3 linked regions of the Sus scrofa genome follow. The main gene of each other region encodes a partner of the protein of the gene in region 2 in a complex. Links are inferred from orthologs where the notes say so. Each region holds a gene or a part of one and is shown on either strand. Other genes may lie near its edges.

Evidence for each region. Proteins that work in one complex are often made in the same cells at the same time.
Region 1: the proteins of CLTC (region 2) and GTSE1 are in contact, whole or in part, in a crystal structure (PDB 6QNP), measured with the Homo sapiens proteins. The link is inferred for Sus scrofa from reciprocal best matches to the Homo sapiens genes CLTC and GTSE1. Residues at the interface, in NP_004850.1 of Homo sapiens: Val50, Arg64, Pro65, Ile66, Ser67, Ala68, Leu82, Lys83, Ala84, Thr87, Gln89, Phe91, Asn92, Ile93, Lys96, Ser97, Lys98, Asp143, Arg144, His145, Trp164, Gln182, Leu183, Tyr184, Ser185, Arg188, Lys189, Val190, Ser191, Gln192; in NP_057510.5 of Homo sapiens: Ser686, Arg687, Pro688, Leu689, Ile690, Asp691, Leu692, Met693, Ser707, Pro708, Val709, Val710, Gly711, Gln712, Leu713, Ile714, Asp715, Leu716, Ser718.
Region 3: the proteins of CLTC (region 2) and CLTB are in contact, whole or in part, in a cryo-EM structure (PDB 6SCT), measured with the Sus scrofa proteins. Residues at the interface, in NP_001139599.1 of Sus scrofa: Gln1291, Arg1293, Gly1294, Phe1296, Lys1326, Phe1327, Gln1354, Ala1355, His1356, Pro1382, Thr1383, Glu1413, Phe1414, Lys1415, Pro1416, Leu1417, Gln1444, Pro1446, Leu1447, Thr1473, Glu1474, Glu1475, Glu1503, Leu1504, Ile1505, Arg1508, Leu1533, Lys1535, Met1538, Lys1562; in XP_005661527.2 of Sus scrofa: Pro100, Ser102, Trp106, Gln110, Leu114, Ser121, Thr124, Glu125, Trp128, Arg129, Ala132, Asp135, Leu136, Trp139, Val147, Asn150, Lys151, Asn154, Arg155, Asp158, Tyr162, Glu191, Trp192, Lys194, Val195, Leu198, Cys199, Asp200, Phe201, Cys209.

What each region holds. Positions count from the first base shown.
Region 1 is NC_010447.5:3,243,860-3,248,102, reverse strand, and holds the start of GTSE1 (G2 and S phase-expressed protein 1), read left to right. Parts: upstream 1-1,423; 5' UTR 1,424-1,912; intron 1,913-2,365; 5' UTR 2,366-2,442; coding exon 2,443-2,461; intron 2,462-4,243. UniProt on the Homo sapiens protein: May be involved in p53-induced cell cycle arrest in G2/M phase by interfering with microtubule rearrangements that are required to enter mitosis. Overexpression delays G2/M phase progression.
Region 2 is NC_010454.4:35,847,968-35,852,187, forward strand, and holds the start of CLTC (clathrin heavy chain 1), read left to right. Parts: upstream 1-1,413; coding exon 1,414-1,455; intron 1,456-4,220. UniProt on the Homo sapiens protein: Clathrin is the major protein of the polyhedral coat of coated pits and vesicles. Two different adapter protein complexes link the clathrin lattice either to the plasma membrane or to the trans-Golgi network.
Region 3 is NC_010444.4:81,463,543-81,467,706, forward strand, and holds the start of CLTB (clathrin light chain B), read left to right. Parts: upstream 1-1,344; 5' UTR 1,345-1,560; coding exon 1,561-1,747; intron 1,748-4,164. UniProt on the Homo sapiens protein: Clathrin is the major protein of the polyhedral coat of coated pits and vesicles.

The DNA of each region.
Region 1 (4,243 bases), on a different chromosome or scaffold from region 2:
ACAGCCACAGCAATGCCAGATCCAAGCCGAATCTGCAATCTACACCACAGCTCACAGCAACACTGGATCCTTAACCCACTGAGCAAAGCCAGGGATCGAACCTGCAACCTCATGGTTCCTAGTTGGATTCGTTTCCACGGTGCCATGATGGGACCTCCCTCAGTAGGATCTTAAGAGAGGTGCTGTTTCACCTCAGGGGCTAGGGGCACATCCCAAGGGGGAGCCTGCCTTCCCATCCTGAGCTGTCCCCTCCTGCCAGTTCTCAGGACAGAGCCTGCCCACACCCCACCTGTCCTTCCTTCTCCTGGTTCCAAGCAAGATACGACTTGGCCAGGGTATCAGGAACCCTGGTCCCCTCCTCTGGGAAGGCCTCTGTCCCCCCAGTGCAGGCTGGTGCCCCACAGCCCTTGGCACCTGCCCTTGCTATTGCATCTTTCTCGCCGGCTGGACTGCTTGGGGTCAGGGACAGCATATGTGTCCCAGCCTCACCCAGCACAGAGCCTGCACTGACTATCTGTCAGGGACCCATGATGGATACGTGATCCCATGAACAAGTGCAGGAAAACATGAAGCATAATCCAACCAGGCAGGGAGAACTGAGTCTACAGTGGATGGAAAAGAGGAGGCCCAGAGGAGAGATGGATGAAGGTACAGCTCAGAGTTAGCAGCAGCAAGTTATTGATAATTGGGGTACTCACTGAGCACGTCCCACGTGCTGATATGATGCAGGGGGAGGAGCATCGGGAGTGGGTGTCTGGGGGCCTTCACCCCAGCAGATGCCCACAGGGTCGTAGGAATCCGACATCTAGGCTAACTGCCCTTGGGTCTAGTACCTTCTGGGTCCCTGCTGCAGTGGCCCTGTGGTCACGACCAGGCAGGCCTGGGCCTTGGGATCATGGATTGAGTCCAGGTTCTGGCAGGCAGGGAGAAGCCTGGAGTGAAGGCAGCCTGCCTGAAGCTGAGCAGGACCCCAGAGGGGCCAGCAGGGGACAATCTGACCTGGCACCCTCCTTCAAGCCCCTCTCTCTGTCTAGGCCCGAAGTCAGGACTCCTGTCAGGGCTCCTGGACGTCCCTACTCCTGGAGCCAATAAATACTCTTTCTAAAGCCAACTTGAAGCTGATTTTCTATTACTTGTAACCCGAGAGCTCTGGACCAAGACCTGCCGCTGGGATTTATACCTGGGTCTGTCTGGCCCCCTCTCTCTTCTCCAGTTAAGCAGGGTCCTGAGCAAAAGATGATGAAACTCAGAAGGGAGCCCATGGACAGAGGCCCAGGGAGAATCCAGGAGGACCCAGCACATCAGAATGCAGCGGGGTGGGGGGCGAGGCAAAGAGCAAGGCCCAGGACTGCAGGGGGAGCCCTTGGATAGACTGGTCAAGGATTCAGGACAAGACAAAGCGCGGATGAAGGCCATGTTCAGGGCCTAAACACGTTCTCCGGGTTCAAGGGCACAAACTGGGGTGTCTGGTCACCCGGTGTCACCTGGGCACTCTTCCGGGCAGGGAACCGGTCTCCTTGCTCTGTTAAGAACTTGGTAATGCTTTACAAAGCAGGTGGGAGCACCTATTTCGTTTGGTCTTCACATCAACACCCTACGATAGGAATTTGATTTTTATTTAAGGATGAAGATCTGGTCCTGATGCCTGGTCTTCTGGGACATACGGGGTGCAAGCTCTAAGAGACCTCGCCCCACGTCAGCTCCACCGCAAGCCTGGGACGAACCTCAGGCACGATCAGCGCGCCGATGCAGTGCGCATGCGTCCTGTGCCCGCCTCCCAGGGCTCTGACTACAACCCCCAGCATGCACCGGGCGCCGAGACCTTTCAAACTAGCCAATCCTCAGCCCGCGCCGCAGTTGCCGCGGCGCGTTTAAACCCGGGGCGGAGGCGCGTCGGCCGGGACCGCTCCGGGTGAGGGGGCGCGGGGGCGCGGGCGAGGCCCGGGGCGCAGGTCGGGGGACGTCGAGCGGGGGGCTCATGTGGCGGGGATCCCAGGCTCCCCTCGCGCGCTCCGTCGGGGCTGCAGCGAGTACGGAGCCGCCCCGGGGGCAAACCGCAGCCCCCAGCAGTCGGCCTGGGGGCTGGAATTCGGTCGTGCGGGTCCGGGGCGTTCAGGCCTGCCTCGGCCGGCGCCGCGCCGGAGCACCCGGCGTGGAGGCGCGCGGGCGCTGGGGTGCGTCCCGGAGGGTCTCGGGCTGCGCCTGAGGTGGCCTCTGCCGCCCCCGCTCCCTGGCCCGCCGCGGCCGCCAGCTCAGCTCCCTCCGCGCGGCCCGTGCTGCTCGTGCTGCAGGGCTTCTCTGGGGCTGGAGGAAGCCGGGGCTCGGCTCTGCCACCCGCTCACCCTCTGGCCCGCTCGTCCCGCAGTGACTTCTGACAGCTCTCGCCGCGGCGGGAGGAGCCGGCAGCGACGCGCCTTCGGCCAGCCAGGCCCAGCGGCGGCGATGGAGGTTCCCGAGGACGGTACGTTTTGTGACTGCAGCGCTGTTGTTCGGGGAGCTCGGGGGAGATGCAGGTCGGTTTAACGCTCTTGGGACAACTTACTCGTTTATTCATTCAGTGCTCGTCCTGTGCTCTGCACCCCTGCGATTCCTGCTCCCTGCCTTCAAGGAGTTTGCATCCGTCTACTTTTTTTTTTTTTTGGCCCTGCCCGTAGCATGTGGAAGTTCCTGGCTCAGGGCTCCAGACCCCAGCCGCAGGAGTGACAATGAGGGATCCTTAACCCCTAGGCCACAAGGGAAATCCCGTCCAACGTCTTTATTTTCCGGTTTTCTACATTCCCTTTGCTCCCAGTTTCAGCTTCATAGCCGAGATTCTTTGCGATTTTATTCACCGCAGGATCCTCAGTGCCTGGCCCGTGGTGGGTCCTCAGCTGTATTTGTGGACTTGAATTTGATGTTGCCTTTTCGCGCTCCTGCTGGTTCCCTTTTCGAAGACTTGCTTAGGATCGCCGTCGCTGCCTTAGGGAGAGAGCCTGGCCTGTGGCTCTGCTGTCTTGTTCTGTCCCTGTCTGATTTGAGTGTGGCGGTCAGAGCACAGCCTCACCAAAGGAGTTAAGGACCGTACCCTCTTTCTCTGCTGAAGGGCGGGGACATCCTTCTAGCCTTTGTTCTTCGCAGCATTCCCCCCCCCCCCCCCGGCGTGTAGACTGGGTATCCCAGCATCCTTAATGCCTCCATTTTGCAGAAACCCCCCCAGAGGCCGCCAGCCATCGGCGCTGCTTCATCAGATCTAGAACGGTCTTTGCTGCCACATCCCTCTCCTTCCGCTGCCCTCTCTGGCCCCTCCGCCTGGCATGCTGAATCCCCTTGGGGACCCCAGCCTCTCTCACCCTCCCTTTGCATCCTGACTTTTTTGCCTGTCCATCAGCGCAGGCCCATCCCTGACACATGGATGGGTCCTGTTATCTGACTTGTCCCCGTAGTCTCTGCTCCCTCTCCACTGCTCTGTGCCTCATTCAGAGCCAGGCTTCAAGAAGGTTCTCTGTTTCCCCGTGTTTTCCCATCCTCAGCCCCCACAGCTTCCTCCGCCCCCGTCCTCTGGGAAAGCTGCCTTGTCAGTGCCTGAGGACAGCCGGCTTGTCATTTTTCAACGTCTCATTACCTCTTGACCTTCTCGCCTTCTGGAAGCGTCCCTTGCTTGCCTTCTGAGGCGTCTTGCTTTTCCTCCGGCCTCCCTGGCTGGTGTATCCATCACTGTGCCCTTCTCCGGCTCTCCCAGCTTCTGAAGCTGATTCCGCAGGACCTGGTTGGGGGTCTCTCTGTATTCCACCCCCCACCCCCAGGTCCTCAGTGGTGCTGTGGCTGTAAATCCCGTCCTCCCTCAGGCGGTGCCCACATTTTGTCTTGAGCCAAACCTCTCCTCTGAGCGCTGGACGTGTACGTTCACCTGCCTACCTGGCATCAGCCGCCCGAGTGTCTCCCAGCTCTTCCTTGGCACGTCCCCCCTCCCACCTCCTTCCGAGCCGTTTCTTTGTCTTTCTCAAGGAAGTGAGCTGCCCCTCCAGTGGCAGCTGCCACCGCCACCCGGTCTTCCGTCACTGTCGTTTCCACTTTCAGAGTAGACCTTCCTCTTTCCAGCGCCACTCAGATGCCGCCACCGTGGTCTCAGCCGTAGCAGCTCTCCTCCACCTCCCCAGTATGCTTTGCGCTTTGGCCCATGTGTCCATTTGTAATTTCAGTGGATAACGCTTCTTTTCAGATACACTGTACGCAGCCACCAGGGTAGCTTTTTAAAAATAAAAGT
Region 2 (4,220 bases):
ATAATGAATACCTTAGATACCTTAATGCTGTTAGAAGACGCGGTGCTCCCCCTTTGAAGCTCTTGCATCCCCAAACTGCTAATTTACAGTGTTCAGGTGGTCCCAGGGAAATAGACCAGTAATAGTTAATCCCTTTCTCCAAGCGTGTACATTAACCACACCGAGGTTTTTACATACTATCTTTAAGAAATCTTTGAGGCTCATTACTAGACATGACTTTAAAAAACCCTCCTACTACAATTTTAGTCCAATTCTTAAGTGTATTCATGACACTACAATTCTTCAACACGATTTATTACGAAGCTAGACCCATATACACGTCCGCCAAAATGTCCGCAGAAACGTTAAGAAAGGCTATCACAAGGCCAGCTTGAGATACTCATAAATGACTTTCACTGTCCTGTGAACCAACTGTTTAATATCCGAAGAGACTACTAGTTCTAGTTAGAACCCAAGCGTCAGCTTTTGCAAACGGCAGAAGGGCGTGCACAAGTGCAGAGAGGGTTTTTAAACCCCATTTCATACCCTCCTCCCTGGGAAGTAACAAACCACCCACCACATGAAACTAGGCGGGGGAGGAGCGCCGCAGCCGGCTGCCAGGAGCGCTCTGCAGGGAGGCGGTTTCCCTGAGTCACGGAGAGGGCGGGAGGCTGGGCCCATCTGCCCACGCCACGTCTTCTTCGTAAGGGGACTCGGTTTAAATAGGTAAGGCCCACAGGGGAAGGGACCAGCACCGCCGTTCCTCAAGGCGGCCCAACAGCCACCTCATTCCCAGGAGACGCCGCACTTCCCTAAAATTCGCGCTGCATTCTAGCAGTAAGCAGCCGACCTTTCCCGACCAGCATCACGTGCACCCGGAAGTACGTGGGTGGGACCTAAAGCGCCCACGGAAATGACGTTAGTCGCCCCTAGTCGCATGATGTGGCAAAATGCAAAAAAAAAGGGGAGGGTGGAGGGAAAGCAGGCGGCCGGGGAAAGTGATGAGGCTAAAAAAGTAGTCCCTTCGAGTCCTCTATTTACCACCGTGTCGTAGCAGTAAGTGAGGCTTTTAGCGCACTGCGCCCCAAATTCCTGCGCCTCCGCTGTATCGCGGCACTCCGTGGAGGGGTACATAAGGCGGAGGGGGTGAGGCAACTTGGGCGGAGTTCTGTCGCCAGGATCCCTCCGCAGGGCTCAGCCGTTTCCGGAGTCTGCGCTGCGCCCGGTTCCGCCATTGCGGCTCTCCCGGACCCTGGAGCCTCCGCCCCCGACCTGAGCTCTTTCGTCTGCCTGCCAGTTTCCTGCGTCCCCGGAGACTATCCTGCCGAGCCCAGCCTTCCCCCTCCCCCTTCTCCTCCTCTCCCTTGGAGAGCCTGGGCAGCCACTGCCCCGCAGCCCCAGTGACAGGAGGAGACCATACCCCCCGACAGCGCCATGGCCCAGATTCTGCCAATTCGTTTTCAGGAGCATCTTCAGGTGCGGTGGGGCCCTGGCTGGTGAAGGCTATGTAGAGAGGGCGGTAGGAAGGAAGAAGTTGGAGTCTGAGCCCAAGCAAAAAGGGTAGAATGGGGGGGTGGTAATCGGTTCCTGGGGTAGATGGAGAATGGGGGCACTATTTGGAAAGCTTAAAGGGTTAAATGATGTGGGGGCTTGGATGGAAAGGACGCGAGTCTGGGTACATAGGGGAGCGAGGCCAGGCCTGGATTTGAAGGCTTTTTCATCTTCGCTTCCTGGATGACAAGAACTGCGCATACTAACCTTTCCACCCCCCGGTTTTATCCAGTTCATTCATTTGGGTAGGTTGGGGGCGGGGGAAGGGTTCTCCCGCGTTTCTTGTAGAGCAAGAATTCTTATCCCCTAGGCCAGTGCAGGACTGTCACCTCCCATTGCTCTCTCTCTTACCATTTCCCCTTCGTGTCTGCACCCTGGAGTTGTGGCGCGGGTGGGTTGGGGAGGAGCAGCCTTTTTTCTTCCTCCCTCTGCGGCTCTCAACAGGAAAGGCACCTTCCCTGGGGTGGGGTGGGGGGGGGGGACGGCGGTGGCATGTCTCTCGCCTTCCCTGAGGCTGTAGGAACAGAGAAGGTCACTGAAGGAAAAGGAGGATAGAATGGGGGAACATATTTCTCAGGGCGGTGTCAGTCGCAGAGTGTGTGGGATCAAGTTTTCTAGGAGAACTCGGCTTTTCTCCCCTTTTTTGATTTCTCTGGGAATGGTGTGGCTTTTATTCCCTCTTTGCTTCTAGAAGGGAGAAAAAGAGTTGTCCAGAGGTTATCTTGGGGTCTGCTGGTCCAGCGGGTAGTTGGCTTGCCCTGAGTATCTCCCTCAGGATTGCATGGAATTGAATGAGCCCTGGAGATAGAGCACACCTGCCCGGAGATATGCAAGGTTATTTGGTCTGCCGTTGGCTTCCTTTAGTAGCTTCTAGAGTTCTTCCCCATGGTGCATTATCCTGTAGGCAACAGACTGTCTTATCTGGCAACATGCCCGTGGCGGGCCCAGGCAGGTGATCGTTGGAGGGCTTGACTGAATTAAGTCTCTTTTGAGCTTCCAATTTTCCTGGTTCTACTTTGGCTGAAATAATTTATCCATAAAATAGGCTTTCTTTCCAGTTACTTCCTTAAAGAGGCCTGCCTCAGTTCAGTCATTTGAAGGACTAATTTTGTAATGTTATTATTACAAAAGAGGTACCAGTGGAATGATGTGACACTAATACTAGTGACCTTTTGGACACTTTACTATTGAAGGCTATTTTATTTTCTACTTGCCATTGTTATACATAAAGGATTACTGTTAATAAAAAAGTTTAATATTCTGACTACCAACATAATAATTTTTTTACAGGTAACACTTGCATCACCAAGACTTCTTTTCCTTTAAGTCTTGAAATATAATCATCTCCTCAAAAAATGAGTTAAGGAATACACTTTATTCAGCTATCTTTGGTTATCAGATGTAGTAGAACACTATTTTACAAAAGGTTAAAAAACATTATGTGGAAAAATGGATACAGAAGTTGTTAATGCTCAATCCAAATTTTAGTTGCTGTGGTTTCTTCTCTTAAGGCGGGGGTGTAAGTGATTGTCAGGGGTTAGGAAAGTAATGTTTGAGGGGAAAACACAGCCTTGTCCTCAGACTAAAGTGCTTCTGGACTGTAATCTTCCTGCAGACAAGTTTGTAAAATCATACAGGAAAAAAAGCAGTTACGATTGTTTGTATTACAAAGCAGAGGTATAGCCCACCCACTAGTAAACCTTATTTCTTGACTAGTGGTGTTTTGAACAATAGTTTTTCATTTTTGTTAAAGAGGAGACAAGATTGTTGAATAATCCCAAAGATGGAACTCCAACCTTGTCACTAATTGAAGACAGATTTAATACGGGTCTAATTTCTAAGTGGTTCAGTGTTTTTGCAAATACTTAAGTGAAGCCATTTCCTTCTCAAATAATTTGAAGAATGTAAAGTAACCTCGCAAATGTATTTGAAGAATTTAGTCATTCATTTTTTTGAGCAATATATATGCCATGCTTAAGCATGCTAAGGTGACTGTATACTCCAGCTGATAATGATTGATTGCACAGGGCCCTAATCACCAACCTCTTCCAGGATAACGCCTGACTTCTCATTAGTGTCCCTTCCCTTTATAAAAATTAATAAGGATTATTTTAATTGGCATCTTAGGTTTTTGACTTCTGACTGCCTGCCAGTTTGCTAGGAGCAGAATACTTTCTGAAACACTTAGGATAAAAATTGGAAATTGGAATTGAGGAATTTGAGTGTAGAGTTAGCCTGTGAAAGCTTCACAAGGTGAACTGTTGGCCAGATAAAGCATCCATCAAGGCTCAGAACTGCATCAAGTGACTATTAAATAGTTGTGAAAGTTTTTTTCTTTTTGGGGATGTTTACGCTAATGGCAGTGAACAGATGAATGCCTGTTGAGCAAGATTTTGCTAGAATGCAGGTTCTGAAAAAAAATCCTAGGCTATGTATAATGTTGCCTGCAATTCTCATTTTTTGGTTCAGGTATTTTTATGCCGATTGATACATTCTGCTGTATTCCCAGGTTTCTTGAGTCTGCAATTAAAAATCTCCCTACCCTGTGATTTTCCCTTTGACTTGTAAATACAGACGTGGACTGTGTTGTGAATTCAATGGTAGGGGTCCTTGCTATGGTTATTTTGATTTGCAGAGAGAAAACAATGCTAAATATTACTGGGATATGTTGTATGCTTAACTGTACTATC
Region 3 (4,164 bases), on a different chromosome or scaffold from region 2:
AAGGAAGGAGGAAGTAGTTGGAAAGAGTGCTTGCAGTGGGTTTACTCAGTGTAGTGTTGCCAGAGCTACTGACTGAAGTCTCTGGGAATCAGACAAGATGTCCAGGGGAAGATCACAGTGGGAGCATAGCACTCACTAGCCCTTGTGTTTCTAACAAATGGAGTTGACATTTATGGCTGGTTTGTTCAACTAGGAAATGTTCAAAGTCTTTTCAGTTCCTGAGCCTGTAACTTGAAATGAGAAAGAAGTGTGAGATAGACAATGGTGAACACTATGCATGGACCAGGTTGTACAGGGCCTGAAATTTCTTTCTTTTCCATACTACTAATAAATGACCATATTCTCATCATCAGATTGAAAACTACATCAAAGTATTACTGTGCAGAAGTGAAATTGCCCTTCAGCCCAACCTTGCTTCCGCTCCCCCCTAAGGGAACCGCTACTCACAGCTTGAGGCACTTCTTTCCTTTCCCTCTTGCAGTTCATAGTTGACCTTCAAGTCTCAAATCAGAAGAAGAAAATCCCAAAGGCCAAATGTGATGGTGGTTCTGCACCCTGCTCCCCACCACCCCAGTGTTTAAATGTCAGAGCACCTCCCACACTGTGCTGTGACTGGACACTTGCCATCTGTTAGTCTCCTAGACTGTAATCTCCCCTTGGCCAAGACTGGATTTTATTATATTTTGGAGACTGTTTCCTGAAGACGACTGGCTGGAGGAGTGGCAGGCTGCCTGGATAAATCAGACCTGTCTTTCTTAGGCTGGTTCTTACTTAAGGAATATTTAAGGGGCCCAGCCTTCGAGTAGGGACCCAGTCAGGTCACATAAACTCTGCTGGTGTGAAGTGAAGCCTCTCCAATGAAGAGAAATGTATAAAAATTGGACGGAAGCAACGTGGCCTTGCGGGAAAGGCCCAGGACTTGCAGGAAAGATGCCACGAAGGCATGAGACTTAATGCCACCTCTCCAAGGCTCCTAATAATGGGATTCATAATATCCACCCAGTTTAGGAGAAGAAATTTTGCAGAATGAATCAGGAGTCAGGTTGCACAGCGACCACCCCCTCCGTGCTCTCGAGGTCCTCCAGGCTGCCTTCCTCTGGTGGCCTGTGCTCACTATAATCCCTCTGTCCAGTCCGCTTCACCTCTAGACCGGGCCAGAGCTGCACCCTGTCACCACTGGTGCCCTGGAAATGCGCGCTGCTTGGCGGGAGTAGGGAGCGCGGCCCCGGCCTTCGGGCCCCTCCGGCTGCGCCTCCGTCCTGCTGACGCCCTCCTGTGGCCGCTGCGAGGCGACCTCCGGCCGTCCTGCGGGCCCCCTCCCTCGGCCGGTGACATCACCGCATTCCCGTCCCGGCTCCTCCCGCTTGCCGCCGCAGTGACAGGGAAGCCGGGCCCGGTGGCAGAGAGGAAGTGCGGGGCCGCCGCGCCGAGCCCGTCCCCGCCGAGGCCGGCTCCCCCAGGCGGCTCGGGTGACAGTGTCGCGGCCGCCGGGCGCAGCGCGGGGCACGCGCCGGGCAGAGCCAAGGGCCAGGCGGACGCTTCAGCAGAGACGCGGGGAAAATGGCTGATGACTTTGGCTTCTTCTCGTCATCGGAGAGCGGGGCCCCTGAGGTTGCCGAGGAGGACCCGGCGGCTGCCTTCCTGGCCCAGCAGGAGAGTGAAATCGCGGGCATAGAGAATGACGAGGGCTTCGGGGCACCTGCCGGCAGCCAGGCGGCCCTCGCGCAGCCGGGACCAGCGAGTGGGGGTGAGTCAGCGCGGTAGCCTGGGGACTGGGGCGGGGGGGGGGTGCTGCAGCTCGCACCCGGGGTACCGGTCTCGGGGCCCTGCGGTCGAGTGAAGAGGGCCTGCTATGTATGGCCAGCCGGGAGCAGGCCTGGGACTGTGTGTACCTGAGTGGACCTGGAAGAAATGGGGGAGGGGAGTCTTGTGGAGATTCCCCCATCTGAGGGCCCCCCTGGAGCTGTGGATCTGGTGGCTCCCAGGATAGAAATTCAGCGTGACATTTCATCCCCAAGCCAACTCTGCTACTGCCCAGCTCTGGAATCCAACACTGCCCAGCCCTGAGACTCTCTCCTGAGCGTCCCAGGAGGCTGGCTGGCCCAGGCTGAGCCCTGCAGTTGTGGGCAGAACCCAAGACCTCCCTGCCCCTCAGACTTAGCTCCTTCCTACGGCTGGGAGAGCAGGGGCACTGGCTGAGAACTCACAAACCTTCCCTGGGGACCACCTGCCATCCTGCAGTCATTGATCTTGGCATTTGACTTACATTTAATCATTTCATGTACATTCTTAAACCCATCTCAGAGATGGCAAAACTGAGGCTCAAAAGGTACACTACTGAAACAACTAGTAAGTGGCAGAGAAAGGACTCTAAATCTATTTCTTTCAGACTCTAAGCCCTTCCCACCTGACCACATTGTCTTCCAGATGCCTGGCTCTGGATTAGACCCCAGCATGGGGGCAGGGAGGTGGGGGTGTGGGGGGGTTTCAGTCAAATGTGGTCCTGTCCTCCTGGGGTTTGTAACTTAGTGGTTGTCCAAAGGTGGCCCAGGGCTATTGTGGATAGCTTCAGACTCAGGGTTTGGAGCCTGATCTTTGCACTAGCATGTTCATCAACAATATCCCTGCTCTGGTTCTGCTTGAAAGAACAATTTCTTGAAGTGTTTAGTAAAAAAGTAGACATCACCTTCATGGGTGAATCCCAAACAGCCTTTGCTTCCTCTTAATGTTGTCATTTTAGTGGGGGTTTATCAGCCTGTTGGAATAAACGGTAGCTCATCTGTTTTTAAAAACTGCTTACAAGAAAGTCTCCTTAGAGTCATGTTTGCATTCATTCAACATTTACTGAGCACCTACTATTGGCCAGGCCCAGTGGGGATGCAGATATGAATAAGATAGTTCCTGGGGCTAGAGGAACTGGGAGCATCTCTGTATTTCCTTGGCACAAAAAACCTAACAAGTCTTTTTTAACATATAAGAAACCAGAGGCCCAGAGATCTGAGTATCTTTCACAAAGTCGCACAGCCATGAGTGACAGATCTGGGACTTGATTCCAGGCCTCCCAACTCTGGGCTCCATGCTCTTTCAAATGCTATGACAGTCACCCTGGGAGGTGATAGGATATGAAGGTAGGGAGGGGGAGTCTTTTGCTACTCAAACAGGTCAGCTGTGGGGGTCATCTGGAGAAACAGCAACTCCTAATATCTCAGTATGGACCCTTATACATCCCAGGGAATTTCTAGGAAATGCGGGCCGACGTTCATACACCGGTATTCATTGGTCCACACCTCCCCCTTGAGACCACCAGCTTCCCCACTCTGGTTGGCCTGGGCGAGGCCTTGCTGGGAGAGCCCATGTTAGAACCACCCCAGAGAGAAGAAGGTAGAAGTCAGGTGGAAGGCAGCCGGAGGCAGCTGGGCGTTAAGCAGGCTGGGACCTCTCCCAGGAAAGTGGGACTCCAAGGTTTACAGCCTGGATGAGAAGTTCCCTTTCTGGCAGGGGTAGTGGTGCACTGATTGGCCCCAGGCCTGGTGGCAAGGGGAGAAGCAGGGACACCGCCCTCTCTGGGTCTCCCAGATGCACGACCACTGAAAACTGCAAAGGTCCAGCTGCTCTGCTGAGCAGCGCCCAGCGATAGGGGAGGTGTTATGGGATGGCAGCTCAATAGATGGGTAGGCAGGATGGAATTGATCTGATCCCCTAAGCCTAGATGCTACTGAGCAAGTTATCCCCCCAGACCCATGCTGAGTGCCAGAGGCCTGGCTGAGATGCAGAAAATGTGCCTCAGGCTGCTGGGAGCTGGGGCGGAAGCTGACTTCAGCAGCCAGCACCACTCATCACTTCTGAGTCTCATCTCGGAAATGACGCCCCTGCGCTGAGTGCCCTGATTTTGGGCCCCCAGCTATCCCTTGGGGAATGGTGTTTGGTGTAGACCTGAGCCTGAGCTCCTTTGAGTCTTCTGGGGCTGGAACTGTGGCCAGCCCGAGCAATGGATACTATGTTTCCATTCATCAGCCTTGGGAAGGGCCCAGGAGGTTTACATTTTCACACCCAGATTTCTATGAGCCAGCCCTGGCTCTGCCCTTGACTTGCCCAGTCATTTTCCGGCAAGCCCATTTCCCCTGATGGGCCTCAGTAAGCTCCCAGGAATGTTCTGGACCCTGT